Rhinolophus ferrumequinum: one gene and its partners. The protein of the gene in region 3 purifies or fractionates together with the protein of the main gene of each other region. This does not show direct contact. Links are inferred from orthologs where the notes say so. Each region holds a gene or a part of one and is shown on either strand. Other genes may lie near its edges.

Region 1 (8,081 bases), on a different chromosome or scaffold from region 3:
GGACAGCAGCATGAAGGCCTGTTCCCCGCCTCTCTGGCAAAGAAACAATGCTGGTGACATTAAGCGTTATTATTGCAAATGCACCCTCTCTGGGCCCCCCTTTACTGTTCGGGTAGAAAGACTACCTCCCCTACTAAGCTGCTACCATCGCCCGACCGATTCCTGCTTCCCCGATAGTTCGGCTATTTGCACCAAAGCGGGAGGCCAACGAGGGCACCAATTCCGGGCCGGGTGGAGAAAAGACCGGGGTATCCCCGGCATGGAGGGGAAGATGGGCTGGCGCAGACTGGGGAACCCGATGAGCCCTGGCCTCCAGGCACAGCACTCGCAAACAACCTGCTTGGTCCTCGCTCTGGAAAAAAAAAAAAGCCCCCTTTCCCGCATCCTGCGCCCGCAGAAGGCTCCAAGGGCAGAAGGACGACTCGGGATTAAAGCAGGGTCTACGAAGAGGGGTGGCAGGCTGAGTTCTAAATGCCATTCGGACGCTGACTCTGGCGTCGCCCCTAGATGTTGCGGGTGGCTTCGACCCCATCCCACCCTCACCGAGCCTTCCTTGGATTACGTGCCGAGCCGGCGCGCCCTGACCCCAGGCGGCGATCCGGTGAGGCCCGGACCGCCTCTGGGTCCAGCGACTGCGGGGATGGATGTGGTGGCACCGAGAAGTCGAGGCGGTTCCCTCTCTTTGGCGAAGGGGGAAGCTCCTGGCTTGACACCTCGTGGTCTCTGGACTCCCGAGGCCGTGACTAGGAGATCAGGGAGCCCAGCGAGGCCTGGGACGCAAGGCCAGCCGAGAGCCCTCGCGCCTGAGCTGCGAGGAGGGCCGGCGAGGAGATTTATGGCCACAGCCGGCCCCCTGCGCACTGAGCGCGTCTCCGTCCTCTACCAGCCAAACAGTGGAGTGGAAGACCCGACCCGGGCCGGGGAAGAAGCCAGGGCCGGAGGCGGAGCCGACAGGCACCCGGACCCGCCGGGGTCCGGCTTGGAGCTTCAGCTCCAGCTCTGCCAGCTGTGCGCCTTGGTCCCGACGGCGTGCGGGGCTCTGGCGCCGCGTCCTTGGTCTTTCTGGTGGGTCGGGGTTGCTCTCGGCTGCGTTGGCCGAACCTTGGCTTAGCACCGAATCCTGGCTGGGCCAGTCCCAGCACGGGGATGGCGAGCTTGACTTTCCCAGGCGCAGCCTCTCCAGGTTTTAGCGGCGCCCGGGCCGGGCGCTCCCTGGTTGCGGGACCTGGGACCTGGACACTGGCGCTTAAAAGACCCGGCCAGAGCTTCATGAGCGAGCAGCAGAGGCCGGCGAATGCTCGGTACCTGGGCTAAGAGTCTGGTGGAGTGCGGGGACTTCGGTCTCCACCGGGGAAAAGGCGGCTCGGGGGGACGGGTGGAAATGGCTCAAGTGTCCGTGCCTAGTAAAGGGTGCGGTTTTTTTGGGGGTGAGAAGGAGTAAGGGAAAATCGTGTCCATGGGCCAGCAACCCCAGGGTTCCAGGAAGCGCCGGGTTTGTCCCTGAATAGAGGGGCTGAGCCGGCTGGACAAAGGCACAGCCGGGGAGAACTGGACTCAAGATTGTTCTGTCCTTTGGTTTTAAAACGAAGGGGAAGAATTTTGTCAGTCTGGCCGTTACGGAGCCGGAACCGGCGACCTGGGAACATACAAAAGGCCTCGGCTCTGGAGGCCCAGGCTGTCCACCGACAACAGCACTGGCCTGGGCGGGTTCTCCGCGAACTGCGGTTTGAGGTTTCGAGGTCCTCCCTCCAGCCGATTTTCCGCCCAGTCAGTACAAAACACACACACACACTCACACACACTCATTCTGCGTCAACACTTTTTGGCCGGGGCTCCCACTGGGTAGACAGAAGTATGTGGGGGGAGGGGACGGAAGATGGCGGCTGGACTGCGCGGCTGTCACCCGCTCCCCTCTGGGCGCCCAGGCCTGGTTTTTACATTTCAGTGTGACCCACCAGAGGAGTGAAGACACCTCCCCAGAGCCCGAAGACGGGCAAGGGATGCGCAGAGTCCCCTACGAGTGGCGAGGGTCTCTGAAGGAGCCCGGCCGGGCTGCGCCTACCACTCGGCTTGGGATCCGTCCTCCGCCCTAAGATGGCTCCCAGCCGCTGTTTACCCAGCGACTGCGGGGCCACCAGGGCGCGGGGCCGGTGAGGGGACAAAGATCAGGGCGGCCGGCTCCTCGGCGTGGCCTGCTAGTGTCCCGACGCATACAGCAGCTCGGAGAACCGGCGCGGCCAGGGTCTGTCCTGTCGTCCCGCCCTGTGGCCAGGAACCGGGAGCCACCGCCTCCGCGTCCCCAAGCCCTGCGTTCCGGGTGCGGGTGTGTGTGCAGGGAGGGCGGCGCGAGGGGGTTGGGGCCCACAAAGGCCGGGGGGCGGTTGGCCGGGGGAGAGGGGAGTCTCGCCTGCACCGAACTGCGGCCCTAATGAAATGCAGGCTCGGTTCGCCACGCCGACGAAGCGCACATTTGGAAATGCTAACGCCATTGGCAAATCCAGGGCAAACAGGCAGAATTTTTATTAGCAACTAAATGATTTATGGCACACATACCCCGCCGTCACAATTACGGCGTCTTGGAGCATCCAGGGGTGAAAACATTAAACATTTATAAAAATAGGCTTTTGTTATTTTCCACCCTGCAAGCCCTTTGTATTCCCCACCCTAGCTTTCTCAAGATAGTTTTTTTTTCCTTGAGCTATATTAAAATAAAGAAAAACATTCCAGATCTAGGGCGGGGATAACGGGGTGGGGGATCAGGGTCTGGCTCCGAATATTGAAGGGCAACGGGGCGGGGGAAGCGAAGGGGGCCCGGGCGTGGGAGGGTTTACTAGGAATCCACAAAGGCCTCTGGATAAGACTCGAGGACGCTCGGCGCCCACCGGGGCTGCGCCCCCACGCACAGCCCCTTCCCTTGCGGTGGCCTCCAGCAACCCAGCGCAGCTCAACTGCGTTTATTTTTTTCTTTAGTCACCCCCTCCCCCAAGGCACACAGGCACAATACCTTTTTCTAACCCCCCTCTCCTCTCCGTCTTTGCTCCTGGCTGTCCCGGGCTGCCACGGGAGCCTCCCGCCGCCCTGGCCGCCACTGAGACTTGAGCGCCCTGCTGCAAGCATGGACACCGCCGCTAGTGCCCTTCGGATCCGGCTATTTTCGTTCCTTTCTTTCCTTCTCACTCCTCCCTCCTCCCGCAGCGGATCTCCAGCTTCCAAAAGAGGGCAGCCTAGAAACCAACGCAGGAGGCTTCTGCAAGGGCAACTTGAAACTGCCCTCAAGAGGCTGAACTTTTTTCCTCAAATTTATACTGGAATTAGACACCCCAGTTCGCTCTCCAAGCCTACCCCCTTTTTTTTCTAAAAGTGGATAAAAGAAAATAGAACGAATGGGCGCTAACTAGCTCATTTTTAATCCCTCCAGAAAAGTTGCCTTAAAAAATGGGTTTAAAAAAATACAGCTATGCGAAAACGCTGAGTCCGCAGCGCAGGGCGAAAGAGCCGGCTCCTCTTGTTTTAATTAAAATCCAGTCACCGCGGTGGCTTCGAGGCAGGATCGGCAAGGATTTTTGCCCTTCCAAGCTTCCTTTTGAGTGTACGTAATGCCCAGCTGGGCATAGGTCCCTGCGGGGCTGCGAAGAGAAGGTGCGGGGGCCGCCAGGGCGGCCCCTTCGACTGCGTCCGCACTTCTTGCGCCCGCAGCCAAGTACGTTGCCGCAGGCAGCTCCCAGCGACTCAACCCAGAAAGGATTTTGCTGAAAGCGCAAAATAAAAGTACGAAGTCTGGGGGATTGAGTCTTCCCTCCCCCTCCGGCCACCACGGCCAGCCAAGCACTTTTTGGGCTTGGCTGCTGCTTCCTCTGAGCTCAACAGATTTTTTTCCCCGGGTCTCGTCCTCCCTGGAGGGGGGCGCCGCGGATGGAAGGCGAGAGAGGCCCCCAGCCAAGAGGTTTTTAATATTACACTTTAATAGGTTTCAGAAGGCCCCGTGGAGAAATGCTAATAGGCTGAAATGTCAGAATCGAGAGGGAATCAGTTCGCGCTCAGCCGATCTAATCCTTTTTTCTGCTTTCTTTGGGGAGGGGGGAAGGGGTGAGGTGCGCCCACGCCAAGAGAGGCTTTGGGGAGGAGCGCGCGGTGCAAAGCGCCGCAGCTCCGGTCGGGGCTGAGCGGGGGGCGCGCCCCGACCCGCGTTTCTATAGGAACCCCTTTTAGAAGATTAGAGACTCACCCGCTGCCCGCCGCCGCGGCCTCTCCAAAATATTAATCAGTAACCACCTGACACCGCATTTCAGGGAGGGACCTGCAGGCCGGGGCTAGGAAAACGGCCTTCTCGCCTGCCCATCCCACCCAACCGCGCTGCTGGGGGAGAGGGAATGAATCGCTGCTTTGTTTTGAAGGCGGGTTGAGGGGGGAGGAAAAAGCAGCCCTTGTCTGTTTTGGAGTCGCCACCGCGCGTTCTAGAAGGCGCGCCCCAGGGGAGGTTGGGGGCCGGGGCCAGGCGCGGGGTGCAGCCCCCGGGGCCCCAAGCTCTTCTCGGCTCGCTCGGCTTGTCACCTTCTCCTGCGAGCAGGAAGCTGACAGGCAGCCTATTAAACCGCGCCTTGCAAAGCCCTGGATTGCGGCGACAACCATCTTCCTCTATTTTGATCACTCAGCCCAGACGCTGGGAGGGAGGGGAGGAAAAGGGAGGAGAAGGAGGAAGGGGGGGGTCTGAGCTGGTGGAGGGGGAGGGCTGCCTAGAAACGGCCCGGAAAAATTCTCACCACCAGTTTTGATCATTCAGCCCCGCCGAGGGGAGCCTGGAAACTGCTGGAGCCCCTTGGTCCGTAATTGGTTTTATAGGAATGGCTGAGGGCCAAGGTGTTTACATGAGCGGGATTGGCGGCGCGCGCGGCCAATGGGTGGCAGCTGGAGGCCGGCCTCGGGGGGAGGCGGGCACCCGGGAACAATGCGTGTTTCTTCGGCGGAGAGTGTTCCCCTCCCCCAGTCACCCCCTCCCCCCCGCTGGTTTTTTTTTTTTTTTTTTTTTTTTTTTTTTAGATCCAACGAGAGGAACTTGAAAGGGGGGTTGTGTAATGTACCTTTTCCAATCCCGGGCTGTATATGGAGATTTGGGATTCTTTAAACCGGCGCTACCTGGATTTTATTAAAAAGCGGGGAGCTCGGCGGGAGGAAAGCTGGCTTTTCCGGGGGCTGCGGGAACCCGGCAGCGGGAGGGCGGAGGAGTTGGCGCGCCGAGCCCTCGGCCCGGGGAGCGGTTTTCTACCAAAAAAAGGAAAGGCGGGCAAAAAGTGTGAGGAGGCTGCGGGTGGCGAAGGGGAGCAGCGGCCGCGGGATGGCGGGCTGCAAGGGCGCCTAGCCGCGCCGGGAGCCGGGGCCGCCACCGGAGTCACCGTCGCCGGAGCCCGGAGCAGGGAGTCCCGCCGCGCCAGGTACGCCGCCGGGTCGCCCGCCCGCCCCTGGCCAGGCGCGATGGTCTCCAAACTTCTCCAGCTGCCCCCCCAACCTGCCTCCCACTCGGGGTGCTCCGGGGGATCCCCGCAGCTTTCCAGCCCCCGAGAATGGAATGGGGACAAGGGCCGGCGAGGTGGGGGCGCCCTGGGAAGGGTGGGGGCGAGCCGCTGCGCCCGGAGCACCCACCTGAGCCCCAGCCCCTCTACAACCTGCCCAGCCTGGCCGAGGGGCGTCGGTTCCCTTCTCGGTTCCCGGCACGCGGCGGGGGAGCCAGGGACGCCTAAACGCTTTCGATTATAGGCTGTTTTTAATTAAAAGCCGGAATTCAGCCATTTTAACTGCATTTAAAAGGGAGAAAAAAGTAGGGAGAACGCAGCGGAGCCCGCAGATGGCTGAGCTTGCTTCTCTACCAGAGCGAGGGTTTTCCGGGGGGCTTCACCCCGACTTCTCCAAAGTGGGGCGCCGGGGCATGCCCTGAAGCGCTGGCTTTTAGAAAAGCTACACAAAGAACATTTTTTTAAAAATCACGGAAAGCTCATCGCCTTCTTAAGACATGTATCCTCGGATGTGGCGATCTTAGATTTTTCTAAAGTAAACGCGGATCTGGTAACCAGAGATTGATGGGAAGGAGGGAGAGAAGGGAGGAGGAGGTGGTTGTAACCAAAACCGGGTTAAAATGAGCACCTTTAACAAAGTTGTGGAGGGAGGCTGGAAAAGGAGGCCGGGGGGTTGGCGGTCGAGGGGTCTGCACCTCGCGGCGCGGGACGCAGGGCGGCACCCGGGAGCCGGTGGCTTTGGCGTGATCCGCGGCTCTCGGAGCGCTCCGGTTCCGGCATCAGGAATACAAGCTGCTGTGGGCAGACGGAGAGCGAGGGCAGGGTTGGCTCCAAGACCCTCTCCCGCCCCCACGGGAATCGGCCAACACAAATCTTTTAAACAAACAGCTTTAAACTGGAACTACAGGGGGATTTTCCCAGTGCTGGGGGAGGCGCCCCTCGGTCGGCCCGCGCGGTTCGAGGATTTTCTTTGTAGGTTATTTTGGGGGTTGGGGGAAGCTAGGGTAGGAGCGAGACCCTTGAGCCCTTTCCTTCCCTTCTGACGCCCCTCAAATACCCGCGCCAGGCTACGTCTCGGGCCGTAGGATTCCCAGGCCAGGGCGTTGGAAAATGAAACCAAAGCTTGTTGGGAAGGATTCGTTTCAGTCCTCGGGCGAGAATGCCACGTCTCGGGTCCTCGACTCGGACTCCGATTCAGCGACTCACAGTGGCCTGAGGGGGTGGGGGGCGGCAAGTCTCTTTAAAAATAGTAAAGCCGCTTTGCACCCTTTCTCACGAAAAAACCATGAGTTGGGCGGCTCGGGACGAGCTCAGGGAAACCAAACTCAGGCGAGGGCCCCTAAAGATTAAATATTAAACTTTCCGGGTCAGATAGTGACAGTGTTTAGAGAGACATTGCGAACTGCTCTTGGAAAGGTTTCACGGTTTGAAACCCTGGAGCATGTGACGCCCAGGAATCAAACACACTTCGAAGGTTTGTATTTGCGCCGTCCGGGCGCGGCCGAGGGGCCTTCCTCAGTCCGGGGGGACCCGTGAGCCGCCCGTGCAGAGTCCGGGCTGGGGCGCAGCGGGCAACCCGTCACTTTCCGAGCCCCGGCCGGGGAGCCTGAAGCCACCGGAGGAAAGAAAATGGATTTTTACTTTTTATGGAAAATGGGCTATTCCCGATTTCGTTTCTGGCCACCACATCGGCAGCCCCTGACACCGAACGGCAAGACGACTTTCTGAAACTTGTTTTTTTTTCTTCCCCTTTTTCCTTTTCTCCCCTCTGTTTATTCCGCGGCCTTTCTCCTCTCCCCGCCAAGACGCTGTGTGCGCCTCCTCGCTCAGCTCTGCCTGGTCGCCGGGAGGGGCCCCACCTCCGGCCGCCTGTGCGTCCTGGGCCGCGGGCCCGCCGCCGCCATGCACGCCGCGGAGCCCCCGCTACCCGAGGACTCTGGGACTACGCTGAGGCCGAACTTTTAGGTCCCGCTGAACGAGGCCAGCGGGCCGGGTGGGGGGCTGGCCGCGGCACTCCCGCGGAGGATGGATGGCCGAGACTTTGGGCCTCCGCGGTCCGTGCACGGCCCCCCGCCGCCGCTGCTGTCCGGCCTGGCGATGGACAGCCACCGCGTGGGTGCGGCCACGGCCGGACGCCTGCCCGCTTCGGGCTTGCAGGGCCCGCTGCCGCCTGGGAAGTACATGGCCGGCCTCAACCTCCACCCGCACCCGGGTAAGTACTCTGTGCCTTGTCAGCCCCCGCTCCCCCCACCAGATCCAAGGAGGGAGGCCCCGGAAATACATCTGGGTTTGTTCCCCGGCGTTCGCTACGGTGGCGCGGCGCCTCCCTCTCGGCCTGTCCACCGGGGTGCGAGCAGTCTCGGCTCTCGGGGCGGAGAGACCCCTGGGCCCAGGGCAGAGGCCGGTCGGGAGGCGCCCGCGGACAGGGGCGCGCTGCTCCGCTGCCTCCCCTGGCGCGCGGTTTCTTACCAGTCTGCGGAAATTGGAGCCATCTGGGGCGAATGCAACCCCCGAGCCCCTGCGGCTGAAGCTGGGCTGGAGTTTTCAAAATCTGGGCCAGCAACTAGTCCTACA
Region 2 (7,274 bases), on a different chromosome or scaffold from region 3:
CACACTGATCTCCAAGCTTGAACCAAGCAAAACATCTACACAACTCTTTGGTATGAAGGGCTGACCCAGTCGGGCTCACACTCACAAGAGCTGCGGTGGGGCCCGATGTACTTCTAAACCTACAGAACGTGGGGAAGACCCATAGGACAGGTATGAGCCCCCCTTACTCCTGTCCCTCCCCAGCCCATGTGCCAAGAATGGGGTTCTGAGAAACCCCACAGAAGTTCAAAGGCACACTCAAAAGAGAACTACAGGCTGCTGTTCTGATGAACACAACATCCAGATTATTGTTGGGTTTTGTCAGCTTGGGGTTTTCAGTTTGTGCTTTTCTTTATTTAAATAAATCTCCTTTAAATGACTTGGGGCAGCATTAGTTCTGCAAATACTAGAATACATGTACTCCAAGCCTCTCTGGGGAAAGAATGAGGGCTCTCCCAGAGTTCTGCCGTCTCCAGGACGAGAAGAAATGGCAGGCGGAGATGCACCACTCCCTGACCCTGGCCCATTTGGTACAGACCAAGCCAGTGACTTCTGGTGGTGTATTACAGTCACATATGATGGTCCAGACAACTCTCAAAGTTTAGTAAAATGTGAACTATTCCTTCCTCATTCTAAAGGCCCTGCCTCAAACAATGTTCACTTACTTTAACTTCTTCCCTCCGCCTTAATAACTTTACAACTATTAACAATGGTAACAGATTAAAACAAAACAGAGTGGAGAGATTTCTCACTCTCCTAAAACTACAGGGGGGTTAGAATTGAAAGTCTTGGGGGCTTGAAAAAGAAAGAAAATAGGTTTAAAAACATATTTCTCCTCATCGGAGAGCCTCTTGTGCAAGATGGAGATGCTCCTGGCCAACTGTAGTTAGTTGTGCTCAAGGGGTATCAATTCCAGTTGCAGGCGTGAGGTGTCCCGTTTCAGAGCCAATAACTCCTCTGACAGCCGAGTACCCTAAAGGTGGCCTGCAGTAGGTAGGTGCCATCTAATTTACAACTGGGGCCTCCCACTCAAACCTAAAGCTGGTCAAAATTCCCAGAGTCCCTGGAGCAGGGAGCCTTAGAACAAAGCACTTCCCCACTCTTGAATGTAAAACCTCAAACCACAAAGGTGGAGGAAAAAGAGAAGCTAGCAGGAGTGCCCCTCTCACTGTCTTACTCTTAGACGCTTTTTATCGAATCATTGAAATCTTACAAGAACTTCATGGTAATGGTTAACTGCCCAATTCAAGGTCTGTCTCAGCTATTTCTACAGAAGCCTCTCACTTTCAGATGTTAGGGAATATTTCCCCTAGCATCTTGTCGTCTAAAAGAACCTTCCAAGCAATCTACTGACAAGATCCTGGAGTGATCTGTGGTCCCTGCAGGAGTGGAGGTGGGCGCACACCATCCACACACCTGTTGTCTGGTGACCCGGCCAGCAGCATCCTGCGGACTCCTCTCGCCACCCCCACGCCACCCCACCCTCAGCGAGTCTCTTCTGGCCTTGTCCACCCGGGAAGCCTGCAGTCTTCCGGAGTCACCTTAAAAAAACCACAACTCCCAACCACAAAGCAAACAAAAGGCCGCTCAGGAGCCCAGCTAGAGAGGCAGGGGTCCCCGTGGCCCCTCTCCAGCCAGTCCCTGGACAACCCCTACCCCTCCTCGGCCTGGCTCCAGTCCCGCGAGTATCCCGCACCCCAGCACCCTGCCCTCCCAGCACCTACAGAGCCAGGCGCCTACACCGCGGCCACCTGGGTCTCGGGCCCGACTTATTGTGCGGGGCAACTCGCGGGCTGGGCTGGCGTGGCTTCACCAAGTCCAACTCCGCGCACAACCGCACCCGGGCGCCCGGGCCCTGGCCGGCCAGCCAGTGCCGCGGGGCCTCCTCCGGCCCCAGGCCCAGCCGTCGGCCCGTCCACCCGGGGCAGGGTCGCCCAGGGAGGGGCCCCAACTGTCTCCTTCCCACAAAAGCGCCCGGGCAGGAGGACGCGGTTGTGAGAAGTTGGCTTCCGGGTTTGCTTTTTGAACAAAACCAAAGGGAATCCCGCACGGCACAGGCAGGGCCTGGGAGGGCGCCGTGTGCGCGAGGCTCTGCCGTGGGCCGCGCCGAGCCCGGCGGCCCGAGGTGAGCGCCAGGCCCGGCCGCTCGCAGGCACCCGCAGCCGGAAGAGCGCGGCGGCCGGACCCGGACGGCGGGGACGGGGCGCGTGGCGAGGGGGTCCGCGCGGCACTTACAGGCGGCTCAGCGGCGGCGGCAGCAGCAAGGTGTCCGGCCTGTGCCCTCTTGGCCGCTCGCGCCTTTTCTCTCCGCGCTCCTCGCTGGCCCGCCCGCCCGCCCGCCCGCCCGCCTCCTCGCTTCCCGCCCGCGCGCCCCGCGCTCGCCCCCTCCGCCCGGCTCCGCTGCCGAGTGAACTGGAACCAGTCGCCGCGGCCCCGGGATTCCCATAATGCACAGCGCGCCGCTCGTCACATCCCATCCCGTCCCTCCGCGTCCGTCCCCCCCTCCCGCGCCGTCCCGGCCTTGACCCCAACCCCGCGGCTGATCGCTCCCGAGCCTTCGGCGCTCTGCAACTTGGACGCTGGTCGGTCTGTCCCCCAGCTGCATGGGTCCGGCCCTCTGCGCTCAGGCATTCGGGCCCTGATGCTGGACGCCGGATGCAGGGTCCACCCGATCCCCGGGCGCGCCCTGAGCAGAGGTGCCCCGGCAGAGCGGCATCCAGCGCGCGTCTCAGCCTGTGTGTTTCGAGTGACACTTATTGGAACGCCTACTGTGTGCCTGGCCCTCAGCATGGGACTCATCCCTAGAAGCCATCCTATTAACCCAGGGAGGGAGACACAACTGCTGTTACCAGCAAGCACTTTTCCCTCCCTAACCAATGCAGACCTCCCGCGCACCTCAGAGCCCCCCGCTGTCTGTAGATACAAGCCTCCAGCAAACCTTTTCTTCCCCATCATCAACTATTGCACTTCCACTGCCCTGGTTCTGCATCGTGACCCCCAGAAGTCTGGACTTGCTTTGCACACGGAAGCCGTTAGTTACTTCGATTCAGGAAACGTTCACGATAGAACCGTTGAGAGTCACTAATGTAAACAGTGATTCCTTATCACACTCAGGTTTTAAAACTGCAGACAAGCAGAAAGAGGAGGGCCGCTGTAAAGATCATCTCTGAGTTCCTGGATTGGTTTCTCTCCCGAAGGCGTTAGTGCCCCATCCCGGGTACTTAAATAGGGGACTTAACCACTTCTCCCCTCTCCCTAAGTGTAGAGGGGAAGCTACCTGAGCACCTAGCTGTGGACCAAATTTAGATAACAATATACACCCTGCAGAGTTGTTGTGAGGTTCAAGGTACCGCTGCTCAAAGATCCCTCCTAGCCCTCAGGCTGCCCCCTAGAGCACCGGTGGTAACCTCCCTTTAGCATGCTTTACACCCGACTTGAAAAGTTTGCAAAGCGGAGACCAATACAAGCCATTTATGGATTCATTAATTCAGTTGAGTAGTAAAGTCATACTTTGGGCCATGCACAAATTTGGGTAATGAAGATGAGGCAGTGGGGTGGAGTTTCAAAAAAAATTAATACTTTCTACTGCTTCATCAAGGACATTCTTAAGTGAAACTATTCGGATTTTTTTTTCTCTGAGTGCTTGGCAATAAAGAATAAAATGATTATGAGTAGAGTTCGGTGCCAGAGCTGATCTGTGCCAATTCACCAGCAGTTTTGCCCATTATTGTTTTTGCACCATTGGTGCAAAGATCAAGACAATGAAAAAGCTAAATAATGTCTTAGCATTATTATGAAAAACTTGGACCTTGTGGATCCCAGGAAAGGGTCTCAGTGACCTTCAAGGGTCTGCAGACCTCATTTTGGAACCACTGTTCCAAGTATCCTGTTAAATATACATACCACTGTATATTTTACCAGTTTCTTCTTGTGGTTGTTTTTTTTTCAGACTGTTTCCAACTCTATTATAAAGACCTGATGAATATCCTTAGAGATACACATTTGTGCACATCTGACTGTTGAGGATAAGTTCGTAGGAGTGGAACTGCTGGATCAAAGTTTGAAAGCTTTATCACAGATAGTCAAAGGGCCCTCCCCGAGAAGAGAAGTCCAGGCAGAGCACCGCCAGTGGGCAGGGCAGGCCTGAGCATTCCTGCATTTCCTCAGCACCTCTTTGCCCCACCCTGAATGTTCTCTAAGACCTTTGATGATCTGAGAGTTAAACAGTGGGGTGTCACCAGTCTCTGAGTTTAGCTTGCCCATGTTTGTGGAAGGGCAGGGTGGGTCTCCAGTTAGTTCCTAAGTTTTTGATCAACACACATCAAGCTAAGAGGAGTGAGTATATGTGAAGGAGTGAGGGGATTCCAGGAAAGAAAGAATCTGGTAAACTTCTCTCCACCGTCATCTGCCCCACAAACAGACGTGCTGTTTTCCACGGAACAGATACATGCGTCATCTCTGCAGGTTGGAGCCTTTCTTCCTGACTTGATCACTTCAGAGATAAGTTCTCTTCCTTTCTCTCTCTTTGATCAGCAATTGGCAGCAAAGTCTGACACGTTCTCTCCTTTTCAACAACTCCCAATCCCTCCTGTCTTTGTTAAACAGTTAATGCGCTTCTCTTGGAGAAGTACAGGTGAATATTTACCCTTAATAAGTAATAACAAAGGAGCCAAGGAAAACCATCCTGGGTGTATGTTGGGAGAAGGAGGGCTGTATTATGCTCTTCAGGCCTAGAGACATCTCTGAATTTAAATCCCTCCCCCACCCTCCCCGCCTCCCAAGGTGGAGCTGAACTGAAAGTAACAGTTTGAAGGATTTAGGCTACCCGTAGAGAATTACTACTCAAAGTGTGTTCCACAGACCACTGTGAGGTCCCTGAGATCCTTTCATGGGGGTCTGTGGGTCAAAACTACTTTCACAATAATAATACTAAGGCCTTATTTGCCGTTTTCACTATGTTGACATTTGCAATGATGATAAAAAAATGCACTGGTAGGTAAAACTGCAAAACACACACACACACAACAGAGTTTTAAAACCTACGCATGATGTTGTAGCATCATACATTAGTGATTTGAAAAATACTGGTTTACTCAATTATACTATCTTATGTATCGCTTAAGAATTAAAAATGAATATGTGGTGATGGAAGGAGAACTGACTGGGTGGTGAGCACACAATGTGATATACAGATGATGTAGTATAGAATTATATACTTGAAATCTATGTGATTTTACTAACCATTGTCACCACAGTAAATGTAATTTTTTTTTCCAAGTCAAGTTGTTGTCCTTTCAATCTTAGTGGTGGAGGGTGCCATTCAGCTTCAAGTTGTTGTCCTTTCAGTCTTAGTTGTGGAGGACGCAGCTCGGCTCCAGGTCCAGTTGCCTCCAGGTCCAGTTGCCGTTACTAGTTGCAGGGGGCGCTGCCCACCATCCCTTGTGGGACTCAAGGAATTGAACTGCCAACATAGTGGTTGAGAGCCCACTGGCCCATGTGGGAATCGAACCGGCAGCCTTCAGAGTTAGGAGCAGGGAGCTCCAACCGCCTGAGCCACTGGGCCGGCCCAATAAATGCAATTTTAAAAAAGGAAAGAATTAAAAATATCCTAAGGAAGCAGATTTTGAAATTTTTTAAAAGCTTGTATCTGCCATCATGAGCTTGACAGCTTCCCAATACTTAAAAACTTTCCTGATGAGATTGGTGGTAGTTTTAACCAATATGATTTTTTGATGTTGTGTGATAAAATCAGTCAACATTTGGAAAGATTTTATATATCTTAGTGATACATATGATAGTACAATTTAGTGAACCAATATTTTCCAAATCACTAATGTATGATGCTACAACATCATGCATAGGTTTTTAAAAATCCATTCAAAATTCAAGATAAACCAACGGATTTAATGTCACAGTATGAAAAGTTCAGTAATATATTTTAATATTCTACATAACTATTAATGTTTAAGAAACTACCATTTGTTGAGTCTTGGTGTAGAATCAGAGAACAATATCCAAAATTATCTGCAAAATTATTGTAATACTCCTACCTTGACTACATTAAAAACAAAACAAAACTTTTGCATAGAAAAGAAAACACCGTAAGAAAGTCAAAAGCCAAGTGACAAACTAGAAGGAAATATTGGCAAAATATAACACACATAAAGCTATTGTCTCTGTCTTAATCTGCTCAAGCTGCCCTAACAAAATATCATAGTCTGGGTGACCTAAATAATAGAATTTTCTCCCAGTTCCTAAAGGCTGGAAAGTCCAAGATCAAGATTCTGGTACAGTTCAGTCTATGGTGAAAGCTCTCTTTCAGAGCACACTGCCATTTGTCCTCATATGACCTTTCCTGTGTGTGTGTGTGTGTAAAGAGACAGGGAGAGAGAGAGAGAGAGAGAGAGAGAGAGAGAGAGAGAGAGAGAGAGAGAGAGAGAAAACATAAGCTCTGGTGTCTCTTCTTCTTATAAAGACACTAATCTTATTGGGTTAGGGCCCCATCCTATGACCTCATTGCGGGTAAAGGCTTCAATATGTATTTGGGAAGTGAGGGGGGGACACAATTCAGTCCATAGCAGATGTACAGAGGTTGCCAAAAAAAATCTATACACATTTTAAGAAAGGAAAAAACGGTTTTAAAATTGTAATAGTCAATATATATCGATAACAAAAGATGAATACAAGTCATGTGCATACATTTTTTTGGCACCCCCAGTATGTATTTATTTATAAAGGTGAGGAAAGAAGTTCTCTTCCTTTAGAAGAATGTTGAATGGTAACTACTAAAGGTAGAGGGAGTGCTGGAGTTGGAAAATCAGCACATTATAACCGTCATAGTAAAGATTAGTTTCAGCAAAAATCATCAGTGGATACTATATTAATTCCCTATTACTGTTGTAACAAATTACTATAGACATTACAAGATGAGTCCTTGACGTATAACTAAGAAATTGCTTTTCTTATCTTCCCAATCATTTCAAGACCTTAGAATATTTCAACTTACAATCTTTTAACTGTCTCAACTTTGTATTATTCTCATGAATCTTCTATTCTACATTTTAAACTCCATAACATTACTAGAATTATTTGGTACAATTATGTCATGTTTACCCATATATTTACACTTCCTGGTGCTTTTCATTCTCCTTGTATACCTGTTTCCATGTGGGTCATTTTTATTTTGCCCCCCCCCCCGCCCCAAGAAAAACACTACCATTAGTGCTTCTATTAATAGACTTGCTGGCAACTAATTCTCTCAGTTTTTTCTTCTTTAAAGAGGCCTCAAAACTCCT
Region 3 (6,953 bases):
TAGTGACCTCACTGCAAAACTGTTTCTTAAAAGTAAGAAGTCTGCGGCCAGATGGCTCAGCTGGTTAGAGCGCAAACTCTGAACAGCAGGGTTGCCGGTTCAATTCCCCCATGGGATGGATGATGGGCTGCGCCCCGGGCAACTAAAGACTGGAAACGACAACTGGACTTGGAGCTGAGCTGCACCCTCCACCACTAGATTGAAGGACAATGACTTGGAGCTGATGGGCCCTGGAGAAACACACTGCTCCCCAATATTCCCCAATAAAATTATATATATAGAAATTATTAAAAAAAAAAAAGTAAGAAGTCTCCCTTCTCTGAACACTGGGTCCCTTCTTTTCTTCTTTTTAAACTGAGAATGTAGAGGTCACAAAACTGTGCAAACTGATACGGTTACAAAGTCAAAGGATCCAGCCTCAAACGTGTCTTCACTACTGCCCAGCAATCCTTCCAAATTTATTTTCCTAGCACCTTCTTTCACAACAGCTATTTAACAGCTAACTCTCTTCAAGATTCCTGCTCTACCAACTGCCCTCAGGAAAAGGAATATTCCCCAACTTCATCTTGAAAACTCCCTCGACTCTCCCCACCAAACTTACCTACATTTGAACTTTTTCTTGCCACTTACCTTCTCACCAAGAAGGAACTTCCTCTTGAAGGCTAGTGTCCCTACCTGTGCTCTGGTGTCCATCTCACCTGGTCTTTTTAGGAACCTCCATCATGACTAGCCCCTCTCCTGTATCTCCAACCTTTCCTCTCTGGCTATTTTCCCTAAGAATTTGAATATGCTCAACTCTCAACCATTACATCTCTCCTTTATCAGCAACCCTCTCTCTGCCCTGGACAAGTTTCATTAAAAAGGGTCCAGCCTGATGTCTCCTCTTCACCCATCCATTCATTCCTCACGCTACAGCAATCTAGCTTCAGTTCCAAACCTAGCACGGGAAACAGTTCTTGCCAACACTTGTCCCTCCCTCTTTTGGCTACTGTAACCCAACACTTTCTGGTTCACTTACATCTCTGGCTATTCCTCTGTATCTTTTTATTCATTTAATCAGCAAGCATTTACTGAGAGCCAACTATGAGTTAAGCACTGTTCTGGGGGAAGAGCATATAGAGGTAGACTAGACATTGTTCCTTTCCCTAAGGCATTTACCATCTGTAAGTATAAAAAAGTAAATGGGTAATTACAATACACAGTGACAAGTGCTATGGCCGGGGAAGTACAGAGCACGAAGGACATTAGACTTTTCCACTTCCTTAGAATTCCACCCTGGATCCTCTTCCGTTCACCCTGTATAACTTCTTGGGTGATGGCATCCTCTTTTGTAACTAAAATTCCCATCTGACAACTATGTATGCTGACGTCTATCAAAAATCTCCTCATTTCTATCTTCTGAACTGCAGACCAGAACGGCTAACTGCCTACTGAACACGATCTAGTTGGATGTCCCCCAGACATCTCAACAAGTATTTCTTGAAGAAAAAAAAAGTTATCAACGGACATGATCTCCTCCACTCGGCATCAAACTGCCCAAACCAGAAACTTGGGATCCTTGCCTTCTTCCTTACCCCAACCTTCATGAATTTAATTTCTGTCCTAGAGCGAGAGTTCTAAGGTAGAAATCTGATGATGTCACTAACCTGCATAAAGCGTCTATGATTCACAAGTGCCCTCAGCATAAAGTCCAACTTCCTTAGGACAGTACGCCCGGCCCTTCGTGACCTAGTCCCTAATGCCTTCTCCAGCCTCATCACCAGCAACCTTTCCCTCACCCCTGTTCCCTCACTTCTACACTCTGCCCTCAAATCTGCGCTTCGGCCCTATGGACACATCCCTGATGCTCTTCAAAGCAGCTGTCCCCTCTCTCCCCTCTAAACTGCTGTCATCTTTGCCTGCCCTGTGCCAGGCTAATAACCCCTGTTCTTCAGATCCCAACTGAGATGGCACCTCCTTCCCTGACTCCTCACACTGGGCTGGGTGCCTCTTCTCCTGTGCCCCGGTAACACTCTGAAAGTTCCTTTATCCCAGCAAGATAACAGAGAGCAGTTCTCTGTCACTGTCTATCTTCCTCTCCAGACGGAGCTGAAGATGGGAAGTGACTCGATCAACTCCATGGCCACCAGCAGCTCAATGCTACCTAGTGCAGAATGAGGTCTCCAGAGAGTGTGGTGACATGAAAAAGTCTGTTTTAACAGCTCGCATCCTTTAGCTTCCAACCCGAGGGACCCCCTTGCCCAGCAGCAACTGCAGGCCCTGCTCAGGGGCTGGGGGAGGGGCAGTGGTGCCGATTAGTTGGTGATTCCTGAAGGACTCTCCCCAAAAAGGATGAGGAAGGAAAGGGGCAGTGAAAAGCCTTTGTACACTCAGCAGGAACACATACCCTTGCACCCCTCCCTCGGATTCTGCCTCCGGCCCTTGGCCTCAGCCTCCCCTCCAGGAGTCCCCTCAAAGTCTCCTCATCAGACGTCTTCCGAATTCCCCACCAAGATCACCTCAGGCGACTCTCTCGGGAGACCTCAGCCTCTTCCCTCAGTCTCGACCTCCTTTCCATTCCTCTGAGCCTCTTCCCTCAGGTCCGACCTCCTTCTCTCAGCTTCCTTCCTCAGCCTTGATCTCCTTTCCTCTGAGCCTCTTCCCTCAGTCTCGACCTCCTTCCTCTGTCCCGACCTCATTCCTCAGCCCAGACTTCCATCCTGAGCCTCCTCCCTCAGTCTCGGCCTCCTTCCTCCCAACCTCCTCCCTCAGCCCGGACCTCCTTTCCCTTCAGCCTCCTCTCTCAGCCTCGTCTTCCTCTCAGCCTCCTCTCTCAGCCTTGCCCCAACGCCTGTCTCTCCCAGCCTCCCGCTCCCGGATCCGGCCCGGCCAGGCCCCGCCCCCGCTGCGAGGACGGTGCTCACCGTCGTAGTAGTAACAGACTTTCCTCTTGGTGCCCTGAGTCTGCGCCATCTTGCTCGCCTCCCGTCCCTCCCGTCCGTCCGTCGGTCCGTCCGGCCTCCCGCCCGCAGCTCTGCTCAGCGTCCGACCCAGGGGGGAGGGGGCGGGCCTCCAGCCCGCCCCGCCCGTCCCCTCCCGGGCTCACCTATAGCCGCGCAGCCCGGGCACCGCTCCAGCCAATCAGCTTACGCAGGGACGGCCCGGAACTCGGCAGGGGGCAAGGGCAGCCCGGAGGAGCCCGGAGAGGCAGCCCAGGGCCCCCTGGGCCTGTACCAAGGTCCGCGACAGGGGGGTGGGGGAGCTGCCCGGGGACCGTACCATTAGTCCCGGGGGAAGAAAGCAGGTCTGTAAACTTCACAGTCCCATTTCGGTGTTGGAGGCGTGCTTGGAGATAAGGGGCCAACTTTGTACAATTTTACACAGAATCCACTGAGGTCTACAGGGGGGAAGTGACTTGCACAAGGTCACTCAGCTAGTGAAAGGGCTGAACGTGGATTATAACTCAGATTTGGAGGAAAGAGAATTAAACTGACAAACGAAATAAAAGTGCTGTGGGCCAAGTACTGTGCAGATTATCTCAATTATTCCTCACAACAGTTTTGGAGGAGGCCTTTTTATCCCCATTTTATAGATAAAGATATTGAAGTTGAGACCTTTGTGACTTGCTCAGACTCACACAATTAGTAATTAAATTCAATTGTTTTCTTTTTCTTGTTTTTTATTAGTTTTTCCTCTAAATTCAATTTTCAATTGTACATATATTTTGAATGCCTATTATACATCAGGGACACTGTAACAACGTGGCAGAACCTAGTCTCTTTCTCCAAGCCTACCTCCCTGATGCAGATGCCCAAGAGGACTGAGGAGTGCTTTTAGCTAGGAGAAAACTGATGGTCCCCTGAACCTGGAGCAGGGTTTCTCTAGCTATTGGAACTATTAACATTTTGGGCTGGATAATTATTTATTGTAGGGGACTGTCCTGTGCACCATAGGATGTTTAACCGCATTCTTGGCCTCTACTCGTTAGATGCCACTGGCACCCTCACCCCAAGATGTGACAACCAAAATTGTCTCCAGACATTGCAAGTCTCCAGGGCAAGGAGGGGAGGGGTTAGAGGAAGTATAAATTGCCCCTCACCCTACACTTGAGACCACTGCACTAGATCAGTCATCAACTGGTCAGTATTGAAAGCTGAAAGGCTGAAAAACACTGTGATGGGCCATTAAAATAACACTAATATTTAGTGAGTGCTTACTATGGGCCAAGTAAGTTACTCACTCATGGTCCTATAGTCAATAATATACAATATGCTTCTTTACATTTAAAGAGTGCTTGGACAATTGGGTTCCTCAGTTGGGAATTGTATTGGGCCATTAATAATGAAGGTAATAAGAGATCTAATACTGGGCAGTTCTATTAAAGAAATAACAAAAGGCCAGGGAATAAACTCTATTCCCAATTTTGTGTTGCTGCTTCCTAGCTAGGAAACTTTCTGGGCCTCCATTTCCCTCTTTGTAAAATGGAGAGGATAAGAAAACAAGTTGACAGACTCTATGGCTGCACAGTTTCCAAAGGAGGTTGTGGGTGTGGCAGCATTTTATAAAATGCAGGACATCACACACTCAAATGCCAACAGAGATCAGGCAGGTGATGTAAATGACTGGATATATATTATATTTACATTGTTTATATTAGTTTGATTCAGGCGCTTTGTTTGCATATTTTTTAATTGAATTCTTTTTCACTCTCTTCAATTGAATTCCTTTTCACTTTCCCCCATCTTTCCACAAACACACTGCCATCTTCAGGTATCTTCAATTTTCTCACTTTTTAATGGAAATGTGGGTGCCAAAAAAATTTCATTTTCCTCTATATTGTAAGAAGAAGAACATGAACATGATGATAAATAGCTGCTAATAGTTTCATTGTCTGGGAGCAAGAGAGAGTGGAGAGTATTCTGGCAAAAGGAGAGCCCATACCCCATCCAAACGGGGTGATCACTACTCAGCTCTAGGACAGATAAGTGCAAGGGAGCCAAACCTTCCTGGTTTTTCAAGAGATACAGAAATCTGGAGATTTATGCAAAATCTATCTAGTTTTATAAATTGACTGCTAATTCAGTCTATTATCAACATAACAGTAAGAGCCATCCTTTAAAATGTAAGTCAGATCATGTCATGGCTCTGCACAAATCCTAGTAAAGCCTCCTCAATATGTCTCCTACAAAGGCCACAAAGCCCCAGAGGATCTATCGCCCTCCTTCAAGCAGCCTTTACTTCTAGAGCTGGCCAGGGAAGCTTCTTCCTCAGGCTGTTTCCTCTGCCCCACCACTCCTCCCCCACACCAGGAGGCTCACTCACTCACTTCCTTCAAATCTTTGCTCAGTCACCTTCTCAATGAGGGCTTCTCAGACCATTGTCTTTAAAAATGTTAACCTCCCCAAACATGACATTCCTAATTCCCCTTACCCAACTCTATTTTCCTCTTAGCACTCATTACCTTGTAGCATACCGTATCATTCACATCTTTGTGATGCTTATTGTCTGTCTTCCCTTGCTAGAATGTACGCTCCACAAAGGCAGAAACTGTTTTATCTACTGTATATCCTGAGCCCAGAACTGTGCCTGGCATACAGTAGATGTTGAATAAATATTTGTTAAATGAGTGAATTAACTCGATGTTTAAAAACATCTTGAAAGTGAATCAAAACACATCTGAAGCCAAATATAGCCCTTGAATCATTAGCATGTAAAAAAATGCTAGGGCCGGCCCAGTGGCTCAGGCGGTTAGAGCTCCATGCTCCTAACTCGGAAGGCTGCCTGTTCAATTCCCGCATGGGCCAGTGGGCTCTCAACCACAAGGTTGCCAGTTCAATTCCTCAAGTCCCGTAAGGGATGGTGGGCTCCGCCCCCTGCAACTAAGATTGAACACGGCACCTTGAGCTGAGCTGCCGCTGAGCTCCCGGAGGGCTCAGTTGGTCAGAGCGCATCCTCTCAACCACAAGGTTGCCAGTTTGACACTTAAGGGATGGTGGGCTGCGCCCCCTGCAACTAGCAACGGCAACTGGACCTGGAGCTGAGCTGCGTCCTCCACAACGAAGACTGAAAGGACAACAACTTGAAGCTGAACGGCACCCTCCACAGCTAAGATTGAAAGGACAACAACTTGACTTGGGAAAAAAAAAAAGTCCTGGAAGTACACACTGTTCCCCAATAAAGTCCTGTTCCCCTTCCCTCCCACGCAAAAAATTGCTATTGCTCTTATGTAATAGGAGGGAGAGGGTCCTGGGATATATACTAGGAGGTTCTAGGTAGGAGTCGCCCTGAAGCCTTTGGGGTGGGGATTTAAAGGGTTTCAAAGAGCCCGTACAGCAAAGAGTCGGGACCTCCTTTTGGCCCCCAGCGTCAGCAGAGCTGGAAAAAGTTCAGACATCCCCTCATCCCATGGTTCACCGCAATTCAGGGTTATCATCTTCTGAACCCCCACTCTCCCCTCCCAAGGAAGAAGAGATAGGAGTGGGGAGCAGAGAGATGTAAAACCTTTATCAACAAACAGACATTTATTGAGCTCCTGATGTGTGACAGGCACCAAGGAGGAGCACACAGAGGTATTAGAAAGGTCTCCCCCTCCAGGAGAGAGATTCTTTAGGACCAGGAGAAAGGCAAAAGGGGTGGGCAGAAGCTGGTGTCAATCACAGGCCTCTCTCCTTTAGTGGTCTCAGGAAGTAGGAGGGCCCAGAGAGGGATAGCTTGGACAGGTGTCCAAGACATATATGTACAGGCCACACATACACAAGGCACATGTGCAGAGCCCACACAACTCAAGAACCTGTGTATAAGACACAAGTGGATGTGTCACATGTAGATAGGATTCACGTGCAGGGTCCATATGTGCATAGGCCACATGGGAACGGCACAAGAACTGCTTCTTCCCCAGCCAGGTTGGCTAGATGCGGGGAGGGCTCCACGTCCCAGCCAGCTAGGCCTCTTAGGGCTGGGGCTGGTACTGGCCC

The links. The genes of interacting proteins can lie anywhere in the genome.
Region 1: the proteins of HDAC1 (region 3) and TNRC18 purify together in Homo sapiens (co-immunoprecipitation; 4 studies listed by BioGRID and IntAct, counting the BioPlex papers as one, with this or other methods). This does not show direct contact. The link is inferred for Rhinolophus ferrumequinum from reciprocal best matches to the Homo sapiens genes HDAC1 and TNRC18.
Region 2: the proteins of HDAC1 (region 3) and core histone macro-H2A.1 purify together in Homo sapiens (affinity purification with western blotting; 3 studies listed by BioGRID, with this or other methods). This does not show direct contact. The link is inferred for Rhinolophus ferrumequinum from reciprocal best matches to the Homo sapiens genes HDAC1 and MACROH2A1.

Annotation. Positions count from the first base shown.
Region 1 is NC_046307.1:41,655,982-41,664,062, forward strand, and holds the start of TNRC18 (trinucleotide repeat-containing gene 18 protein), read left to right. Parts: upstream 1-5,055; 5' UTR 5,056-5,429; intron 5,430-6,566; exon of another isoform or gene 6,567-6,981; intron 6,982-7,312; 5' UTR 7,313-7,532; coding exon 7,533-7,719; intron 7,720-8,081.
Region 2 is NC_046307.1:11,097,153-11,104,426, forward strand, and holds the start of core histone macro-H2A.1, read right to left. Parts: upstream 3,027-7,274; 5' UTR 2,918-3,026; intron 2,318-2,917; exon of another isoform or gene 2,215-2,317; intron 1-2,214. UniProt on the Homo sapiens protein: Variant histone H2A which replaces conventional H2A in a subset of nucleosomes where it represses transcription. Nucleosomes wrap and compact DNA into chromatin, limiting DNA accessibility to the cellular machineries which require DNA as a template.
Region 3 is NC_046292.1:22,159,039-22,165,991, reverse strand, and holds the start of HDAC1 (histone deacetylase 1), read right to left. Parts: upstream 3,061-6,953; 5' UTR 2,953-3,060; coding exon 2,904-2,952; intron 1-2,903. Other genes in the region: tyrosine-protein kinase Lck, read right to left, coding at 6,929-6,953. UniProt on the Homo sapiens protein: Histone deacetylase that catalyzes the deacetylation of lysine residues on the N-terminal part of the core histones (H2A, H2B, H3 and H4).